2 linked regions of the Lonchura striata genome follow. The protein of the gene in region 1 interacts with the protein of each later gene in a pairwise test. Links are inferred from orthologs where the notes say so. Each region holds a gene or a part of one and is shown in the gene's direction. Other genes may lie near its edges.

Region 1 (10,908 bases):
CTCTAAGTGTGGTACTAATACTGCCTGCGGCTGAGAAGGGCCACTGGAAAAGCCTTTGAACTTCGGAACTACACAAAATCCACACGGGAGTGCGAAATTCACGGCTAGCATAGAGGGCCGGTGCTGTCCCACAGCTGCACTCGAGGACAGCGGCACCCGAGGCCTCAGTGGCTGGCGGCAGCCCCAGCCCGTCCGTGACAGGCCGGCGAGCGCGAAGCACACACCGCGAGCCGCGTCCAAGCGCACGAACCCAACAGGTCACCGGCAGCGCCCGTGCCCTTGTTACTCATCCTTCGCCACGGCGCCGAGAGATGAGCTGGCAGCGCTGCACCTCCCTCCGCACACTCTTTCCCGAAATGTGCCCCCCGCTCAAGACGACACGGGCCCGAGGAGGGGGGAGCGTGGAGTGTGCGCCCCGCCGCCGCGGCGGAATGCGCGCAGCCCCGGCAGGAGGGCCGGACGGAGGGCGGGCGGCAGCCACCAGCCGCCACGGCCGCGGCACAGTACCCCCGCACCGCACCCCCACCAGGGACCCCGGCGCGGCTCACCCTGGTACTGCAGGTCGAGGAGCACGAGCAGGAAGGGCAGAGCGGAGCCCAGGCGCCCGGCCGAGGCGGCGGGGGACACCATCTCCTCCTCCTCCTCCTCCGTCGCCGCCCCCCGTCCCGACAGTGGCGGCTCCGGGCCGGGCCCAACCGAGCGGCGGCTCCAGCTCCTCCGGGCAGGGTCGTGGGCGACGCTGATTGGCCGCGCGGCGCGCGCCCGCCCCCGCCTGGCGCCGCCGCCGGACGTGAGGGAGCGGCGCGAGCGGGCCGGCCCCGCCCCGGCGCGGTGCCTCACGAACATGGCGGCGCGGCCGGCGCGGGCCCTCGGCGGACATGGCGGCGCCGCGCCCCGCCCGCTGAAAGGCGCACGGGGTGTGCGCCTGGCCGCGTCCGCATTTCATCTCTCTTTGCCCGCTCCCGCCCTGCTCGTCTTGACATCCCTTGAGTCAGAAGTTGTTAACGATTTTCTCAGAGAATTACAGAGAATGAAAATCGGATTGGGAAATACAGTCGTGCCTCATCACAGAAGCACAGAATATCCTGAGTTAGAAGGAATCCATCAGGCTCTTAAAGCCCAACTCCTGGCCCTCCACAGGGCATGCCAAGAATCACACCATGTGCCTGAGAGCATTGTCCAAACGCTTCTTGAGCTCTGTCAGCCTGGTGCTGTGACCACTGCCCTGGGATGCTGTTCCAGTGCCCAGCCACCCTCGGGGGGAAGAACCCTTTTTCTAATATCCAACCAAACCTTCCCTGACACAACTCCAGGCCATTCCCTCAGTCCTGTCACTGGTCACTACAGTGATCAGTGTCTGCCCTTTCTCCTCCCTCCATGAGGAAGCTGTAACTGCAATGGAGTCTCCCCCAGTCTCTTCTTCAGACTGAACAGACCAAGTGACCTCAGCCGCTCCTCGTATGGCTTCCCCTCTTGGCCCTTCATCCTCATGGCCCTCCTTTGGACACCCTCTAATAACTTCATGTCTTCTCCCGAGTTGGTGCTGGTAATATATAGTAACATCAGAGGGCGACAATTAGCAAGGAATGACTTGAAGCTACTCATTGCTTCAGAGACAGTGAACTGAATAAGATGACATTTGGTGGAGATAGTTTTATCTCTGGAGGACCCTGGAATGCTCGGTGATACAATCGATAGATACAATTTCATTAATTAATCTCGATTCCAAATCCACCCTAACAAAAGTTTCCTGATCCAGGAAGAATATAGAAGCAATATAGCAGACTGAACTGAGCAGAATATAGAAGTAATATAGGAGACTGTTGCATGCACAATCTAGTATGAAAATAAAGGAGGAAGTGAGAGAGGACAATAACACATAGGTGGTATTCTCAGGACTATTTCTTATAAGAGGTTTCTCAGTCCTTGTACCTCATTTTTGTTCTTACCTATGTGCATCTCTCTGTCAGAAACTTAGCTGTGATGGAGCTGCATTAAATAGTAGTGTACATCTGCTTAACATAGGATTCTTGTTTATCTAGGCTAATCTTTTGGGAATTTCACATTTGGATTGCTATTCACGGGAGACAGCTGTGGGGAAATTCCTTTATCTGGGTTCCTTAACAGTTAATAGAATTAGAAAGGCTTCTACAACCCACAGTTCAGCACAAGAGCTTAATTTACATGCTGTAAACTTGCACTTGGAAAAGCTGATGTTTGTCATTGGTCTTGAAAGGGAGTGTGAGTGTCCAGTCTTGTCTAGGACAAGGGAGTAAAATATTTAATTTATGAAAATATGCCCTTATTAAAACATGTATTGCATTTTTAGGGCATAGAATATGTCTCAATTAAAATGCTACTCTGAAAATCAAAAAAAATTGCTTCAAATATTGAGACACTTATTTTTCTGAAGTAAAGAATTTTATTTTGAAAATATATGAAAAATGTTAACATTAATGAACTCTTTGTATTTCTTGATTGAAGCAATTTCTGAAATTCAGTCTATTTGCATAACTAGTTTTGATTTCCCTGAAACTCATTTTGATTTACCTAGCATTAATTACACATATTTTTCCCAGCTCAACTCCAAATTTCAAACCTCTGTGATTCCAGGAAGCTATATTGTTTCTCTTGAATGTCTCTGATTTTACAAACTGAAAAATACCATTAACAAAGTGCTGTGCCATCACTGAAGGTGTTTGTTCTTATTTTGTCTTCCAAAACACCAAACAAGCAAAACTTGCATTTCTAAGCACTTTAACCAGAACTTAAGAGCATGTATGTGTGCAGCCTTACCTCTGCCTCCTCTAGCAGACAGCTCCATACTCTTCTTTCCTAAGAGGATGTTTCCATCTCTCAAGACATTATTCATTCAAGCCACTGGCAACAGAACCCTTCTCATGCAGAATTTTACAAGTTCATGTAAGCCATTGGTCAGTGATGCCATCTAGCATCCTCTTTTACTCACCCAGCTGCAGGCTGTTATAGCCACATCAGTGAAAAAGTGCAATGCAGTTGTTAGAAAAAGAACAAATATCTAATGTATGCCATAAAAAATTCATCTAGAGGTATTTAAGTGTTAAAATCCAAGTACTTGCTTGTGTGACCCTTCTGTTGCTGCAATTGCATCAATGGTTTCAGTGTCTTTGCAGACATTTCTCTATAGTTAAGTTGAATTCCCTCCGAGTTTGGAAGAAAGGAAGATACATGAGCTGGCCATCTCAGTAAAATCCAGCTAGACTTCTTATGTGAAGAGAAACTTTTAAGATAAACTGTTTTATTTTAAGATTAAAAAAAATTTAATTTGAAGAGTCTGAAGCACCCAAACTTGAAAATAAAATTTATTAAACTACATAGAGCAGTGTCTATTCAAACTGCTTAATTGTGGTTGGTGGTAGTTGTTGGATTGAAGAAGTGACACAAAAGGGTCAGGAGAGTGGTTCATTCTACCTTTCTTTAAAATATTTTGTTTTCCTGTGATAAAAATACATAAATTATTTCCTCAGGTAAACTGAGTGATGGAAAGTTTGAACAAATGGAAGTATTTATTATAGGTATTTGTCACAGTTTACCCCCAGCCAGCAACTAAGCGCCACACAGCCACTCGCTTGAAAATTGAAAAATGTGCCATGGTGCAAACTGGCAGGAAGGAAAAGATTAAATAAACTAAGAATCTGGCTAAGCTCATTATTATGCTTACACCATTCTGGTGAAGTCAGCTTTCCACCAGAGTTAATGATTACTTGTATGCGTCACTCTGAGAGCGCTGTAGGAGAGAGGTTACTGAAGAGTCCACTTCTCAGTTCCCAAGACAGTTTTTCCACTGCCCTCTCAAATTAAAATGTCTTGTACAACATGTGTAGTCCTCCTCCACACCACAAAATACACCAATAACTTTTTCACATAACACATTGCATCAGTGCTCTGGGGGCACTGCCAGGCCTGTCTGTCCCCACGCAGCCTCCCTCAGTGCCCAGTACCCCTGCTACTCAGGATATTTTCCAAATAGCCATTGCCAAGATGTCATCATATTTCACTCCACAATCAGAATACTCTCATTTTTCTGCTCTCCATTTGCAGGTACCTTCTATGAGCCTCGCAAATACCTTGGAAATGCTCTTGGTCCTCTCCTAGTAAATCCACGCATGTTTTAGGAGAGTACTTTTGTCACCAAGGCATATAAGGGTAGAACTCAGCACTAATGTGGGTTAAAGAATACCCACCCTTGCCAAGTGAGGCTGTACCACTTACAGCTAGCAATTAAAGATTAATCAAGCCCTGGAACAAATTAGAATAAAAGAATTAAAGGGTGAGAACCACCCCTTCACCATAAAAATCTTGGTTATAGCTCTCATCCAAGGCCTGCTTGTGTATTTTGTATTAAACAGGTACTAGAATAACCACCAAAATCCACATTTCTGCACACTTCATATGCCACTCTCCTCATCAACTGAAGAGCATTTCCAGCATTTTTGCACACAGTTAGCATTTATTTTGATACAAAAAAAAACTTTATTTGCAAGAGAAATCCTTAAAAGGCATGCTGAACAGACTCTGGTGTTGCCATTAGGGCATTCTAAGGGAATGGGGTATAGAATTTCTTGGGCACCCAAGGGCCTGTACTTGTTCATCTTGCTCTCTGAGTGCTCCAACTATTCACATATTCACAACTATTCATCAACTTGTATTGCATATTTGCCTCTAGGCCTGACCCATAGAGGCTGTGACTGTCACACTGCAGGTTTCCAAAGTCCTCTCTTAATTAAGGTTTACCACACTAAAGCCTTAATAAAGCATCTTCTGGCAATGCCTGCTTTAGTAGTCCAACAGATGTAGATCTGCAAAAGCAAAAGTCATTAGGACTGAGGACTGGATGTCCACATTTGATACATGTTCAGGTTTTCCTTCAGACTAGCCTGATCCTCTGAATTGAACACACATTAGTGACTGAAGCATGCTGAGGTACCCTTGGAGCATCAAAAACATAAGCACCTAAATTATTACCTCTTTTTTAAAGCTGGTGTTCACAGCATATGTGCCTACATCTACACTGTAGCAACAGAATTTCACAGTTCAGTAAGGTAAGCTGGTGTCAGTACTTTGGAAAACACAGTGGTATATCCCTGGCCAAATGGAATTCCTAAATGAAGATTAGGTGTTGTAAATGTCTAATGATTACTTCCATCACTGAATTTGCCAGCATAATTTATATTAAATACAAAGTGTTTGAAATTTTCCTTGTGGCCACAAAGGCTGCACAGCATTTATAATGGAAAAACACAATTTAAAACACTTACAGGGAAGAGGAATCAAATCAGAAGGATTTGAGGTAATCTGTAGCTGTTGGAATTATTCTATCTGCATGATGCAATACATATTTTAATTGAAAATAACAACTTCATCTGACATTACTTCTATAAAATACCTGCAGGAAAGCATACGCCCAACCTTATCCTGGCACTGGAATACGGTGTTTTCCTGCAAACGTCAGAAAACTCTCATGAAAGCTCCTCACCTTCTCCCGCTGGAGATTATCACTACGTTCTCGGTCCCTCGGGCTTCCCTCCAGCTCGGCAGGCAGGCGAGTCTCTGCAGACCCACAAACCCCTTTCCAGCTCGGTGCGCAGGCAGGATGCTGCAAATCCCGAGACCCCGCTTCTGCTCGGCGGGCAGATGGGATCCCGCAGCTCCTCAAGTCGCCCTATCCAGCTCGGTAGGCAGGAGGGCTCCTGCAAGCCCCAAACCCCCCGTCCATCTCGGGGAGCAGGCGGGCTCCTGCCCCCGCCCCACCGCCGCCCGCCTCGCGTCGGCGGGGACTCCCAACCCCGCTAAGAAGTTCGCTGCTCCACAGGTTTAAACGTGTCGTATGCGGTGACTGCGTGGCAAAACGTGCCTTGAACTCCCAAAGGCAGCCTTTCCAAAGCTTGTTGTAACTTCCCTTGCATTTTACAAAAAGGGAGAGAAAAGGCTTCTTCTCGGTCGGAGAGGCTCGGGACCGGACTAAGACAAAGGACATCCCGCCCGGGCATCAGCATCTGCCGGGCAGGTTATCAAGGAGGGAGCGTGGACGAGCAGCGGGGGAGCCCCCGCCTGCCCTGGGCGCCCACCCCTCCGCAGCCAGCCCCGCGAGCGGCCCGGGGTAGCGGGGCCGGCGCGGGACGGGCCCGGCGGAGGCGGGGGCGCAGCCGCCGCGGCACCGCCGCTAACGGCAGGGGCGGGAGCGGCCGCAGCCCCGCCGCCCCTCCGCACCCCTCCGCCCGCCGAGACCCGCGGAGCTGCAGCCGGAGGTGAGCGCAGGGGTCTCCCTTTCTCCCCCCGCCCCGGGCGCAGCGGGGTGGCGGGAGGCAGACTCCGGAGGGGCCTCTCCGCTGGGGCAGGCGGCAGGGAGAGGCGAGGCGGCCGCGCTCCGAAACGGAGCTGCAGGTTTTGGCAGGCAGATGGAGCCCGGCTCAGGGCCTCCCGCAGGCCCGGCCGCGCTCGGCCGCCTCCCGAAGCGCCGCGTCTGGGCCTGGCCCGCGGACACCGCCGCGGGGAAGCGCCGCTTTTCCCCCGTCCCGCCCGTCCCGGAGAGGAGCGGCGGCCGGGGATGCAGGCGGTGCCACCCTTGACCAGGCCTCGCGCGTGGGTGATCACTCTAAATTCTTCATGGGCACAGCTCCCAGAATAGAGTAAAGCTGGCAGAAAGGAAAGGGAAAAAAAGATCGAAAAGGGCCGCCTCCGCCCGTGCGTACTTTCTCTGTCTCCATCGAGATGCTAGGGCGGTTTATTCGTCTTCTCGTAGTGCTCCTCCCATCCCTGGCAGAGTTCAAGGCCGGGTTGGATGGGGCTCTGAGTGACCCGGTCTACTAGAAGGTGACCCTGCCCATGGCAGCTGGTTGGAACTAGATGGTCTTTAAGGTGCATTCCAACAAGGACCATTATATGATGCATAGATGATGTACCACTGCAAGGTCGCGTTCAATTAAAGCATGCAAATCTGTATGGATATTCCTGACTAGATACATTGGTTGAGGAGAATAAGCTGTCCTCAGGCATAGTTTACTTTGCTGGCTTTAAATAATGTTTGGTTATTTTTTTCTAATTAATTTCAGGCTTCTTCTGCTTGACACACAAAGTGGTAGCTTTCAAAATTCACATGGTTTTTATGTAAAGAAATTTCTCCTATGTCAAATAGATGGAGCACATATTGGGCTTAGATCTTTGGGAGCTAGATTTCATTATGTGTAATATGATATGATATGTATATTTGCTATACATCAAAAAAAGTTAAATAGATTTCTTTGAAGATTAGCTGGAGACTGTTCGTGGAAAATGAGGCGGCAAAAATGTCATTCTTGTAGGAGAAGGCTGAAATGTTGGAACATCACACAATATCTTTTCTAAATTAAAAACAAGTGGCGTGGTAAGTGATGGAAGAATCTAAATGGAACTGAACCTTGGGTATAAGTGTGACCAGTAGGCTTAAGGTTCAAGGTCCAAGAAGCAACAACCAACATAGAAATCTACATAAGACTAAGAGCTTGTAATTTGTGAGGGTGCTCATGTTGGTGCACCTAGCAACATTGCTGGTATTTTTGTGGAAGTAGTTCTATATTGTGATTACTGGTAAACATGTTACTGTTTATGTTGGAGAGGCAATGTTAAAAGTGCAGATGAAAGATGAGGTTCATTACAAGTTCCTAGGAGGTGAAAGGAGGGAAATTTATGGGGGGGTATGAACTATGAGGAGGAACTGAAAGGGGACAAAGGAGGCCTAACATGGTTAGTATCTAAATGGTCTATGAGAAGAAGCTGAGGGACCTGGGCTTATTTAGTATGGTAAAGAGAAGGAAAAGGGGTACTCTTGTAGTGGCCTGCAGTTACTTGAACAATTGTGGCAAAAATATTCAAACCATTTTTTTAATCTTGGTAATAGCAGATACTATTATTAAAGTGAAACATTAAGAAAAATGTTTTCATCAGGAAGAGAGCAGACATACAGGAGGTTGTACTGGGAGGTCATGGATTGTCTGTTCTTCTTAAATGCCACAGGTGATGTGAACTAGTGTGCGGCAGAAATTTGGACTGGACGATGATCACCAGAGGTCCCTTGAGAACATCTCTGTGAGTCTATAATGCATGATGTAGAGGAATCTACGGAACGGAGTGTATGGTCAGATATATATTGTGTGACTGTTCTTAGAGAGGTATGTATCTAGGAATGACCAAGAGGATGAGAAACTAAAATATGTGTGGAAGGGACTGAAAAGTTAGGGAGGTATAAATGTGGAACATGGCAATAAGGCAGACATAGCTAGGAGACTGAAATATTAAGAAATGGTAACAGGAAGAGCAGGTTTTTGGAGAAGAATGAAATAGGGTGATTTTGTATGTTGGAGGGGAAAGATGCTGCTGCTCAGAAATAGTGTTTGAAGCAACCAAGCAGGTGCAAGGGAAACACCGTAATGGGGAGCACTGGGGACTGAGGTGAGGCAGGGATATAGGCAGAAGTTGTTGGTTGCATTGAAGAAAAGTATTTGTGCATGGATGGTAAAGTAGGTGATGTATGCAAAGCACGAGGGGCTGAAGGGTTTGGGATCGGTAGTATGAGACAGGAACAACAGATGTGGTGAGGTTGTAGGGTTTTATGGTTGCAGGAGTGGGTCTGGTGTGTGCTGATACCAGGCAGAGGTGTGTTGATTCGATGAGTGACGGGAGCATGTGGAAGCGGCATGCAAAGTGTGTGACTGTGTTAAGGTGAGCCCTTTGTTTGAAAGCACCCAGCAGGAGGTTGGTGTGTGGGCATTGGGAGGGATGTGGAGTTGCAGTGGAGAGATTGCATAGAGCTACGAGCTAAGGCACATGAGGGCGCAGCGGTGTGAAGATGTACGGAGAAACGCTGTATATATGAATGCTGATGGTAGGGAGGTGACAGGTGTTGTCACATCTGGGAGAAAGTTGAGTAGGCAAGGCTGGAGAAGGGCACAGGACAACACAGGTATAGAGGAGTGTAAGTCATGGCAGACTGAGAAAGGTCAGAGTCAGGAGCAGCACGGAGGGGGCACCGGATGGGGATGCACGTTGATGCAGTGAACGTGTGAGTAGGGTGGCATGTACAGACTTCAAAGAAGCCAAGGGAACGTGGAGAGAGAAAGCGTATGCTGTGTAGCTGCATTAAGGATGTATAAACATAAGAGCGAAGCCGAGGATACGTTTGTTGGTGCGAGTGGCGTGTGAAGATGGTAAAGGATGCGCTGCGTGCGGTGCCGGCACCGGGAGCCGCGGGACAGAGCTCCTTAGCGCGGCGCTGTCGGGAGGCTGTGGAGGCGCCGCGGGAGAAGGATGCCCGGAGGGAGAAGGACGGGATTTGCGCCGTGCACGGAGCCGAAGGGCCGTGGGGCGGGGAGAGGCGGGGCGGGCGGTACAGCCCGGCGTCACTGCCGCCTCCCCTCGCTCAGGCCGGGGCTGCTATAGCGACGCGGAGGACGCCGGCGCCGCGCGGAGCCGCAGGGACGGAGCCCGGACATGGTGAGCGCCGGGACGGGCGGGCGGCGGGGCGGGCGGCGAGTGCCGGCCCGGGCTGAGCCGTGTCTCTCCCCGCAGCCCTTCTCCCAGCGCACCTACCACCCGCCGGCGGCCGGGCCCGGCGCCGGCCCGGCGGCGTTCCCCGCGTTCCAGTTCCGCGGGAGGCACGAGAACCCGGACTGGCGGCGGCTGAGCACCGTGGACGTGGAGCGGGTGACGCGGGAGGGGGACGTGGCGGCCCTGCAGGCGCACCTGGAACATGTCACCTTCTGCACCGCCGAGCGGGAGTGCTGCCCGCACTGCCAGGGCCCCGCAGACCCGCTGTTGCTGAAGCTGCTGCGCCTGGCGCAGCTCTCTACCGAGTACCTGCTGCACTCCCAGGAGTACCTCAGCGCCCAGCTCGGCAGCCTGGAGGAGGCCCTGAGAGAGGCACAGGCCCAGCGTGACAAGGTGGTCAAGGAATTGGCCCAGCACTTACAGCAGATCCAGGGGCTTAAGGAGGAGTGCCGGCGGAGGAAGAAGATGATCAGCAATCAGCAGATGATGCTGGAAGCACGAGCCAACTACTACCAGGTGAGAGGAGAGGGCCTGGTAGCCCAGTCACCCACACCTTGTCAGCTCTGGGCCTGTGGAATGAGCGGCAGAGCAGCCCCGCTCTGCTGGGGTGTAGTTGTTTGCTGGGTGAAAGGCTGGAACTGTAAGGACCAGTGACTTTGCAAAAGGAAGTGCGTTGCTGGCACTTGTTTTCCATCTGTGTTTCAGAGACTCTTAAGAGAATGCTACATCATCTTTAACAAATCCTCTTTTTACTAACAGGTGCTCTTTACTCTTGGGTTCGCTTTAGATGCATCTGAAATGTCAGATACACACACATACAAAACCTGTGATAAACATGTTGCTATTTTGTTGTGTTGCTGTCTTTCCTTGTCTGCCAGCTGTGTGGTGAGAAAACACACAGGGCAAATGCATCGGAACTGATGCTGAGCCGTAATGTACTGTCTACAAGAAGTCACTGTCCTGCACTGATGTTCTCCAGGCACAAAGTTGCTGCCTGTATGTGTGACTCAGAGGTGACTCAGGCAAGATGGTAAAGAGCTTCAGTGAGTTAGCACAGCTCTGATTCCACAACAATCTGTTCCTAAAGGGTTTTCTTAATATACAACTTAATCTTAATATACAAGAATCTTAATATACAACTGTTCTGACAGTGTCATGGCACTCTGTTTATATTTTGTCTCACAGTGTGCTAGTTTGATCTAAGTATTTTTCAGCATCAGCATTTTCAGGATTCAGGAATGCAAATTTTCGCTTCAAATGTAATCTGAAGTATAAAGGGTACACTAAACACAGACTTGACATGATTTCAGGCTAGCTCTGTATGTTTAAAGTTACAGGCAAAGTTCA
Region 2 (10,595 bases), on another chromosome or scaffold:
CAGGCACATCTCAGCCTTGACCAGACACAAACAGAGGAAGCACTAAGGTGCCTGTGAGTCCCGTGAGTGCAGGAAGATCTTTGTGGGATGCTCCAGTGTGCTGGCTTTGCATTGAAGCCATTCACAGAAGTGACTAAGAGAAGCTGCTACTAGTTTCCTCTGTCTGACAAAAACTTACCAGTAATTAGCCCTGAGAATTGACAATCTGTTAAACCATTGAGAAAGCTGGACATGCCTCTCTGAATAGCTGCCAAGGGGCTGTCCTGGCACCGAAGGGGACTCTGGGCCCCTTGAGATTGCAACACAGCCCCCAGCGTGGCCTCAAATCCATCATCACGACTGCATTGCTGCCTGGCAGGGATCACGTCACCATCTGCACACCCCGGGTGAGATACAAACTCTTTCAGTGCAGAGATGAGACCCACAGACACCAATCCTCTCTTGAGTGAGAGAAAAGGACAGAGTGAGGACATGCAGAGGAACAACATGAATACACCAAGGTTAGTGAAGAAAGAGTCAAGTCCCAGATGGGAAGGATGAGGAGATGCCTTGACCTTGAAATCCTCTTGTAAAGCTATGGAGAAGAATATTTGACTCTTTTCCCCCCTGTAACCCATTGAAAAGTATGGGGAATAAAGGGTTCAAATTGTAGATATGAGCAAAGGCATTTATGCTAAAGTAAGCAGATGTTGAAGCAGCTGTGATCACATGACAAGTTTGAACAGAGAGAGAAGATGGATGAAGACCCTTTGCCCATCCAGAAAGAAGAAGACCTCTGTTCCCAGAGATGATCTCAGAGATAAATAAGGAGAACCTTTGCTCTTAAACAGCTCATCCTTAAAACAGTACCCCATAAATTGACATGGCCCATGAACACAGCTGTGGTAAAAGCTGTGAAAAAAGGGAGAGACTTCATGATTGCAGATTTCTGGGCAACTGCTGTTCGTGGAAATTAAAAGCCACGAGAGAACTGTTTTCTTGTGGAGAAATTTCCATAAATTGACAAGAGGGACTCCGCTCCCTAAGTGAACCGAAGAAAGATTGTTCTAGAAGTGATAAACTGACTGACTTGTTTCTGTGCTTTGTTAGTGGGAAAGAAAATGTTGTAGGAGAGGGAGAAGTGTTCTAAAGGTTTTATTCTGATTATTATTATTCTTTCTTTTAGTTAATAAAGTTTTCTTTACCCTTTTAAAGTTTTGATCCTGCTTTACCTTCCTCCTAAACCTATCTCACAGCAGGAAAGGAGTAAATCTAGGGGGTACATTGGCATTTGACCAACAGTAAACCCACCACAGACTGTAATGATGTAGTCACAGGTACACTGAAAGGAGTCAAACTCAGGACCCTTACAAACAAAATCTTGCCATCTAACCTCTGAATTCCAATCCCTGAATTTCAAATTCTGCCCTGGGATTAAGGTGACAAATGGCCCTGAGATTACTAATGCTGTATTATTCAAGGATTTGTCAAGCAGAAGACTTGGGAACACTTATGCTTGATATCTACTACACAAGATAGACTACAGAACATATGTATGTAAGCATATAGTTTATCCTGAACTAGGTGGATATCTCACTTGGTTCTACTGGGGCATTAGTCCAAGGAAGTATTTTAATCTAGGACTAAGCCCCTCACATTTGCAGACAGGCTGAGTGAGTTGGAGTTCTTCAGCCTGGAAAAGAGAAGATTCCAGGGAGACATTAGGGTACTTCCTATATCTAAAGGGGGTCTAAAAGAGAGCTGGAGAGGGACTTACTAAAAGGGCATGTAGTGACAGGACAAGGGATAATGGCTTTACTCTGAAAAAGGGTAGATTTAGATCACATATGGGGAAGAAGTTCATCACTGTGAAGAGGGTGAGGCACTGGAACAGGTTACGTGTTGCCCTGATTTATAAAAGTGTTAAGTTTTCTTTTATAGTTCTTTTGAAAGTTTTAAAGTTTTTTTAAAAGTTTTCTATGCCTTCTGATGTTTACATATTTCTACTGGAGTTCTCATACACTGTTCATGTTGATAAAGATTGTTTTGCATTCTTCTTTGTGGGAGGAAAGAATTGATGGACTGGTTGGTTTGACCAGTGTGGTTGGAGAGGTGGCAATTTCATCCTCCAATCCACTGTCGCTTTTGGAATTTCATATATTGCGAGGTCAGAAATAAAATTTGTGCTTTTTTTCCTTTGAACTTACCAAGCTTCTGTGTGCTCGTTTTGTGTCCAATAGCGACAGTTACCCAGAAAAACTGTGGATGCCTTATCCCTGGAAGAGCTCAAGGCCAGGCTGGATGGGGCTTTGGGCAACCTGGTCTAGTGGAAGGTGCCCTTGTCTATAGCAAGGGGTTTGGAACAAGATGATCTTTGAAGTCCCTTCCAACCCAGGACATTCTGTGATTCTGTGAAATACCCTGAAAAACTGCTGGGTTTGTGCAGTAGTAAATATAAGCACAGTTGCAGTCAACAGGGTTTTTCATATTCATTTTGAGAGGGAAATCAAATTTTCTCAACAAACTTTCTTGGCTGAGAGTTCACCCACTTAGGGCATCCTCTTTACTAAAATATTCCTCCCACTGTCTCTGGGAAGAGATAGATTTCTGGCAGCTTGGCCTCCAAGCATCCGTATGGATGAATGGGAAAGCAGAGCTGTAGTTAACTCCTCATCTGCTGGCAGCCAGGCAACTCCCTGCAGCAAAAATCTGGTAGCAACCTGGTACTTGAAGCACCAGATTTGCAAGACAACTTGGCCAGGATTCTGCAAGCTAATGATGCGTCATGTTCTTGTTCACCTTTCCAAAGGTTTCTCTTCTGGGTAAAAAGATGATATGAAAATGCAGGAAATAATCATCTGTGGCTAAATGAAAAGAACCATAAATGCGACTTTCAGTAAAATCTGCTCCAGAATGTTGCTCCTCCGTTCTGAATAATGATAATGAGCCTTCTTCAAAGCTAGAGATATGCGAGAGGTTTTGCAGAATCAAGGCCTCAGTGCATACTGAGGAGCCTGATTTAGGAGTGGGAATAGCTTGGCATAAAATTACTATTCACAACATTCTCTGTGGACACCGCAGACTTCAATGAATTGCATCTGGAGCCAGCAGCTTGTAACCTGGCATCATCCCTGTGTGCCTTTAAATATACTCTGAAAACCAGGGGCTTCAGAAGCTGACTCAGAGCAGCTCTGACAGCTGTGTAGGAAGCAGAAAGCAGGGAAGGGCAAACTCCAGCCCTCTCAAACACAATTATTTCAGACTGCCACTCACAGCTCTTGTTTCATTTTTTGTCTCCAAATACCCCAGTCCAGCAGGCCTGTATGTTCCAATGATTTCACACATTGATGTAATTCCACTGACTTCAAGTGCAACTTAAAGCAAACATTACCATTTCAGTTTAGGAAACTGTAGCTGGTCACCAGAGATGCTGCTCATTCTTTTCTGAAACAGAAGAGTTATATTAAAAAGACAAAAGAAAACTCAATGGCTAGAAGTACTTCTTATTTATTTGAGAGAATAAACGTTTTGTTTTGTGTAGCTGACTCAGATCTCACCAATATTTCTTTTACAAATGATACATGAAGATGCAGTCTGAAAATATCTTTCAGTGCAATCAATATGAAAATCCCATCATTGCAAGGAAGGCTTGGTGTCATGAATTTCAACTGCCAACAGATTTTTTAAAGCACATTTTCAAACAGCACTTCTAAGCCTAAGCAACCTTGGGGAAAACACTTTAAACCGCAGAAAACCAACATTTTTACATTTTACAACTAGAACATGTATCAAGCTTCCTTAACAAATCCTGAAATGCTGATGAACCTCTAAGGTAGACTCTTTTACCCTGGGAATTGGAAGCAAGGCTTGAGTTGCCAATAAACAGTACACAGGACACGCTGGGCAGTGTCAGTTTCTAAAAATGGGTGCAGAAGCAAATGACAGCTGTTGGAGGGCAGGCAGGAACAGAGGAACACACCGATACAGGGGCTTGGCCCCAGTGATCTCTCAATAAGAGCTGTGGGCCTTGAAGTGAAGTGAGAATTAATCATGTAATTAATGCAAGGATTTCCTTTACTGCAATCAATATTGGAGCTGGTAGTTTAAAGGACAAGTACCTAGAGACTGCTATGTTGTCTGTAAAACAGATTTTATAATATAAGGAAATGAAATGAAAAGTCTACAACACCTACAAGATTGATAAAAGTATATTACATTAGTACTCTATAATTTCTAGATATGTTCTATCCAGAATTTAATCTAAAGTGTATAGAAAAGGCTTGTCTCAGCTCAGCTCATAGGGGTTATAGAATATTTTAAACCAGAAAAGACCCACAAGGATCACTGAGTCCAACTCAAGTGAATGGCTCATACTCCCTCTCTCTACTAAAGATTATTTCACCAAAAGCAAAGAAGATGAGCAGTGCACAAGTTAGAGACTGTGTTGACATAGGAAAGGAAAATGAAGAGACAGAAGCAAACAGGGAGATCTGTTTCTACTGAATAGGCTATCACACTCTTAGTCTTTTACATTCATATAAAGCTATAATCATTTGCCTTTTGATTTATGGTTTATATACACAGAGATTAAAGTCCAACTCATGTAATGAAGGCATTTTACAAACATTTACGGTGATCTTATTGTATTTATGCCCTACCACAGCTACCGAAACTTGAGTGTGTGCTTAAAATACTACAAATGCTTATTTGCTATATCGGTATCCAAACCTATGTAGCAAAAAGAAATGCGCTGACGTGCTCAAAACTTAGCGGTACGTGAATGGCCACAAGACACGGCATCCCGCGTGTCCAGCTCCGCACGGGGGCGGGGGAGCCGGGTACGGGAACGGGCCAGCGCAGGTCAGATCCTGATGCAGCCCGCGGCGCACACGCAGCCGTGGCTGTCACCGGCCCGGCTGCAGCCCGAGCCCCGCAGGCGGATCGCGCCCAGCAGCGGGACGGGCTCCCGGCTGCGCATCCAGCCCGGGAAGCTCGGGCAGCGCCGCCTCCAGCCGCTGCCGCGCTGCCAGCCAGGGAAAACACCGCGGCCGCGCCGACCGTCACACACCCGAGCCCAGCGGAGACCAAAGGAGACCTTAAAGCGCTGAGGCGTCGGGAGGGTGGGCGAAGGAACCAAAAATTCGGGAGCAGTGGGGACACGGCACGGAGATACGCTTGGGAGCGCAGCGCGCGCTGCCGCGGCTCCCGGCGCTCCCGGCGCTCCCGGCTCCCGGTCAAACACCCTCTCGGCGGTGTCCCCGTGAGCGGCACCGCCGGGCGCGGGACGCTCGCTGCGCCGCTCCCCCGCCCGCCGCGGGATTGGCCGGAGCGCGCCCCGCCCGCCATCCCGCCCCTTCCCCTTCCCCTTCCCCTTCCCTTTCCCCTTCCCTTTCCCTTTCCCTTTCCCTTCCCCCCGCCGGGAAGCCCCGCCCACCCCGCCTCCCCCGCTCCCGGCTGGAGGAGCCGGCTGTCAATCATCCGGTCCCCGGCGCGCGGCCCAACTCCCGCGTTCTCCCCAGGCCTCCGCGGGCGGAGCGGGGGGCGTTCCGCATTCCTCTCCTTCCATTGGTCGCTCCGGGCCGTCAATCACCCGTCGCCGCCAACCGCTGCCTCTGCCCCCGCCCTCGCCCCGCCCCTCCCTCCTCCCTCCGCTCAACTCCGCTCGCTCCGCCAAGTTGTGCGGCCGCTGCCCGGCGGCTCCGGGGTTGTGGCGGCGCCACGCGCGGCGGCCCCCGGCGGAGCGCGACGAGGCGGGATGACGGCGGAGGCGCGGGGAGCGCCCGGCGGCGGCTGAAGGCGGACAAGGGGCGTGTGGAAGCGAGCGGCTGAAGCCCGGGGGCGAGTTCGGCTGATGACAGCGGGCTCGACTGAAGGGGACGCAGAGCGAGCGAAGCGGGAGCGGGGCAGCGGCGCCGCCGAGCCCGTCCCGCAGCGGGTCGCGCCGCGCCTGCCCTGAGGACAGCGGGACCCCGGGAGGGAAAGTTTGGCGCTCGCCCGCCCCCGCCCCGCCGGGCAAAGTTGTCTTTGGGTTTGTTTGTTTGTTTTCCCTTTCCTCCTCCTCCTCCCCCCTTCCGCTCCCCCGCCGGCTCCGCGCGGGGAGGAAACGGCGAGGGAAGCAGGAACTGAGGAGCGACCCGGGAGCCTCCCCAGCGCCCGGCAGAGCCCGCTCCGCTCCTCTCCTCGTCGGTGCGGTGTGTGAGGGCAGCCAGGACTTCGTTTTTGGTGGTGTTTTTCGTTGTTGGTTTTTTTTTTTTTTTTTTAAGTCCCTTTGTTTTTTGCCCGCCCGCTTCTCCCTCCGGTACAATATATGCTCGTGGAGAGCCGCCCCGCCGCCCAGCCATGTCGGCGGCCATCTCTGCCGCGGAGAAGGTGGATGGCTTCACTCGGAAATCGGTGCGCAAGGCGCAGAGGCAGAAGCGCTCGCAGGGCTCCTCGCAGTTCCGCAGCCAGGGCAGCCCGGTGGAGCTCTCGCCGCTGCCCCAGCTCAAAGGTACGAGCCTGCCCTCCCCTCCGGCTGCAGGTGCCGCTGCCCACACCGCCTGCCCCGCGCCCTCTGCCCTTTAGCCGTGTCCTCCCCTGCCCCCGCTGCTTTCCAGGTAGGGACCCGCGGCAGGAATTGCTCCTCTGCTCGCACCACCCAGCGCCGCTGTCCCGGGCGCCGACTCCGCTAACTCGCCACCCCCCTATTCTGGCTGTTCGCGTGCGTTTTAAGGTCTTACTGAGGAAAATGTAGACGGTAAGTTGAGCTGGGGAGTGCAAGCAATTGAGCGCTAAAACCTGGGAGCGAGCGGTGGCTCCTCCCACGGGGGTTTTGCGGAGAGGAGCTGTGCCCGAGGCGTGACATCCCGAGTTAGCGGAGAGCTCGCCTTGGGCTGCCCCGGCTTTCGCACCGCTCTCGGACGGTGCTGGGACGGCGTTTTGCTGCTCTCCAGGAGTTGCCTCGGAGACTTCCTCCAGCACAGTCTGTGTGGCGACACTCTCACGCGAATGAAAACTCTGGATGAAGCGGAAAATAGACAGTGATGGTTTTATCCGCTGTGCTGGTTCTAAAATTTGAGAAGGCTCAGTTCATTAGGTCATAAAAATGAAGCGAAGTTCATTGCAAACTTCTACATCTTTGACCATCCGAATACGTTTCTGTATATTTTTAAAATTACGAAAGGATATGTTGAGAGAGTATAAAGCTTGTTATTAAAGCATTTATCAGGGACTTGAAAAATAAGGTAGAGCGACTACTTTAACGTGACTTAGCATGTTAATTTTACTTCCACTGGCTTTAAGGTCTTAAGGCTTTTGAAGCTGCATCATGTGATGGTGGAAAAAAAAAAATCTGATTTGCAGTGAATATCCAAAATCTGAATGAGATATAGTAAACATAAAAATATTCATAGGTACTAAGTTTGGATTTTTTTTTCAGTTTGATTTTTATGGCACTTACAGTCATGTCTAATATTTCAGGGCTGTCACGTTTTTTCTGCTCTTTGAGTGACAGATGTACATGAATCATAAATCTGGCTCTTAGCAGAAATGTTATTGACTAGAAATAAGCTTAGGCAAGGGAGTAACAAGGGCAGGGTTGTTTGGTTTTAAAATGTTTGTTGCAGTCGGTTTGGGTGTTAGTTTTAACAGCAACAGCAGGATTGTTCTTGCTCCTTGTTATGGGCTTTCCTTCCTCTATGAAGTTGTGTCCTGTCTTGGTCCGCTACTTTGATTTGAGGGATATATAACCTGGATATTTTGTTTGAAACTAAGATTCAGTTTCTGCTGTTTCCATGCAGTTTAGACAATACATTTTCCTCAGAGCTGAATTTGAGAAACCACACTTGGGACTTTGTAAAGGCCCTTGGTAAATACTGCATATAGGTGGCAGACTTCAGAAAGTTTGAGTCCTGGTCCAGCAAACAGTTAAACATACGTGTGTTATGCAGGGAGCAATTCCAGCTTCAATCAGCAAAATGTCCAAGTTTACATTCTTTGCTGAGCTGGGACTTTAATATTAAATTTTTAACTCTGCATTATTAAGTCTTGTAGTTTTTTGAGTGTGGTTTTATAACTTTTTATTTGTAATACAGAAAAATTTTGCATGCCATCAGCAGCTCACATGTTTGGAAATTTGAAGCCATAAACCAGCAAAGGAATTTCTTCAGTTATGCAGGGTTTTATAGTAGTTTGAATCGCCTTATTGCCTTAAGTTCTTAAAGGAAAATCCCTTCAGTCTTTATGCTTATGATTCAGATGTGAAGTCTTGCCTTGGAGACCTGCTTCAGAACAGAAATTGTGGGCAAAATATACTTTTATGAGCTGTAGTGTCCCAAGTAGGCAGTTTGCAGAAAGTCAAACAGCACTCCTTTTGCTTGCATTTTTCCCTTAGGTTTGTGATGTTAGATTTGTCCCGTAGCTGTGGACATGGGATAGTTTCTTTTCATAATGCTCCCTCTCTCCTTTTTCCTTTTAAACCTTCCTTGCCTCTGAAGCCAGAAAAGGTTCTAAAAAGAGTTTGCTCTCTCTGCAAATGGATCGTTTTATAAAACTATTTGTTCTAATCGCTTGTGTCTTGGGAAGATAAATCTTTGCTTTATTTGTTAAAGTTAGTATGGAATTTAGCAATAGTCTTGATGCTGCTAGTGTAATATCATCTACAGACTCATGAGCCAGAATTTACAGGGATGGGCTGGAAAAGGAAAGTACAGTCATTATAATGATGCCTGCGGGTGCTCAGCATACACTTAGTAATTAGAATAAGTTTTTACTTTTACAGACCTCTGCAAATAAATGTTAAACCTGAGGTATTTCAAACCTGTATTGGGAGAAAATGCAATATTTTTAGATGAAAAAGCTGTTTGGTATTGTGCTGCTGTAAAATATTTCATCTTGTTTATAGGAATTGTCTTGTTTTATCACTTTTAAGAGACAATATTCTAAAATAAGTATAAACAGTATTTTAAAACTCCCTAGTAGGTTTGTCAGACTGCCCTAAAGGACTTGCATCTATTTTACTGGAGGGAGAGATGTTCCAGAAGAAAACCAGAAATTACCCATCAGTTTAGAAAGTACCTTCTTGGGTAGTAAATGTTGTGGGATTTTTCCTTTTCTGTAGGGGTTGCTTTGTTTGCCACTGGAATGGCCAGCTCAGATGGTGAGACACGCTTTCAGAGTTGTACTGTTTTAAAGCCTTTAGACAGATAATCTTAAAAAGACATGTTTCTGCAGTTAATTGTACTGCTGCTCTGAATTGCCAAAATTCTGTGCTTTGGCTGTGCATTTCTTCTATCAGTGATACATCACATCTCTTACTAGTGAGTAACAGTCCCCAGTAGCAGGAGCTCTTCCCTTCAGAGGTGTTTTTTTTGGGGGGGGAGTGAGATGGAGAGGAGGGATGGTAAGGTTCTGTGTTGTGATTAACATTCAGCTTGGCTTTGTGTGTGATGATATCTATCCTGTGTAGGTGAAAGCTCAGCAAAACCTGACTGATGGCAGGATACTCAAAATAATTTAGTAATGTGTTCTTCAGTTAATTTAGGAGATTTCCTAAAGCACTGTTATTCAGGACAGTGTCCATCTTGCTATATTATTTAACAACTGAATAAGAAATACTGAAGACAGAGTGATGATATTTAAAAGAAAAAAAAAGATTGTTTAATCACCTCCCAATCTTCTTTTCATTTTGTTACCTAAAGTTTGCGTAATAACAGAATTTTGAAGAATCTTCAGCCAAAGTAATGTGCTGGAACACAGCATGATTTTGTCATTTCATGGGCAATTCTGAGAGTGTTGCTTTTAAAGAAATCTGGCAAAGGTAGTGTTATTTTTGTTATCTTTAGAAGTGGTAATTTTGTCCCAATAGGAGATTGTTTTAAGAGACTGCAATAGAACATGGCAGTTACCTTCATTTTTGACAAAGAGATGCAGCTTGACCTTGGAACCTGATCTGACTCTCTCCAGTATGCATGCTTGTCTCAGTCACTTTTGGTTGAAGCAGCATGTAGAAATACAGGTGGAAAGTGGTGAATAGAAAACCCAACTTGCTGCTTTTATTTAGTGCAGTTAATATGGTCTGTCAGGTTGTAAAGCAAATAGATTTTTTTTTTGTCTTCTGTGTACCAAACTTGTCAAGTGCAGCTGGAAAGAATAAACATTTCCTGATGCCTCTTACCCTCACAAGAGAAGAACTGGAAGGTGGTCTAGAAATCTTTCAGCCATGAACTAGCAATAGTTAGAGGGATCTCTGTGGGGCTGAGAGTTACAGAGGTGGAGTGTACTGGAATGAGAAGACATTTTTAAGAAGTGTGTAGTGTCAGCATTCAAATACAGGTGTAAAATAAGTGTTAACTCTGGTTATTTTCTTTACTTAAACCACTGAGAGAGAGCTTGGCTTTGGATCTAAACTGGTTACTGTGTTCAAGCTAAGCTTTTGTGGGAATGTTGCAGAGGGGCCTGGTAACCTTGCTGATAGTTAAAATTTTAATGTTATTAAATCTGAGGATCAGTTCAAGCTTCACACTTTGAATGGTTTTGAGTCGCACTGTGTGCTTCAGAGTAACATAAATTAAGTGGAATTAAAAACAGCTGAGAGGAATTTTCTTGTCATATTAAGTTGCCTTTGCTCCCCAAGGGAA

The links. The genes of interacting proteins can lie anywhere in the genome.
Region 2: the proteins of DZIP1 (region 1) and PPP2R5A interact in binary tests that used the Homo sapiens proteins (3 or more experiments, as listed by UniProt). The link is inferred for Lonchura striata from reciprocal best matches to the Homo sapiens genes DZIP1 and PPP2R5A.

Annotation. Positions count from the first base shown.
Region 1 is NC_134604.1:76,786,120-76,797,027, reverse strand, and holds the start of DZIP1 (cilium assembly protein DZIP1), read left to right. Parts: upstream 1-6,182; 5' UTR 6,183-6,287; intron 6,288-8,031; 5' UTR 8,032-8,103; intron 8,104-9,437; 5' UTR 9,438-9,504; coding exon 9,505-9,507; intron 9,508-9,582; coding exon 9,583-10,077; intron 10,078-10,908. Other genes in the region: DNAJC3 (dnaJ homolog subfamily C member 3), read right to left, coding at 549-630. UniProt on the Homo sapiens protein: Molecular adapter that recruits protein complexes required for cilium assembly and function to the cilium basal body.
Region 2 is NC_134605.1:11,992,830-12,003,424, reverse strand, and holds the start of PPP2R5A (serine/threonine-protein phosphatase 2A 56 kDa regulatory subunit alpha isoform), read left to right. Parts: upstream 1-5,721; 5' UTR 5,722-6,007; intron 6,008-6,242; 5' UTR 6,243-6,318; coding exon 6,319-6,469; intron 6,470-6,554; exon of another isoform or gene 6,555-6,575; intron 6,576-10,595. UniProt on the Homo sapiens protein: The B regulatory subunit might modulate substrate selectivity and catalytic activity, and might also direct the localization of the catalytic enzyme to a particular subcellular compartment.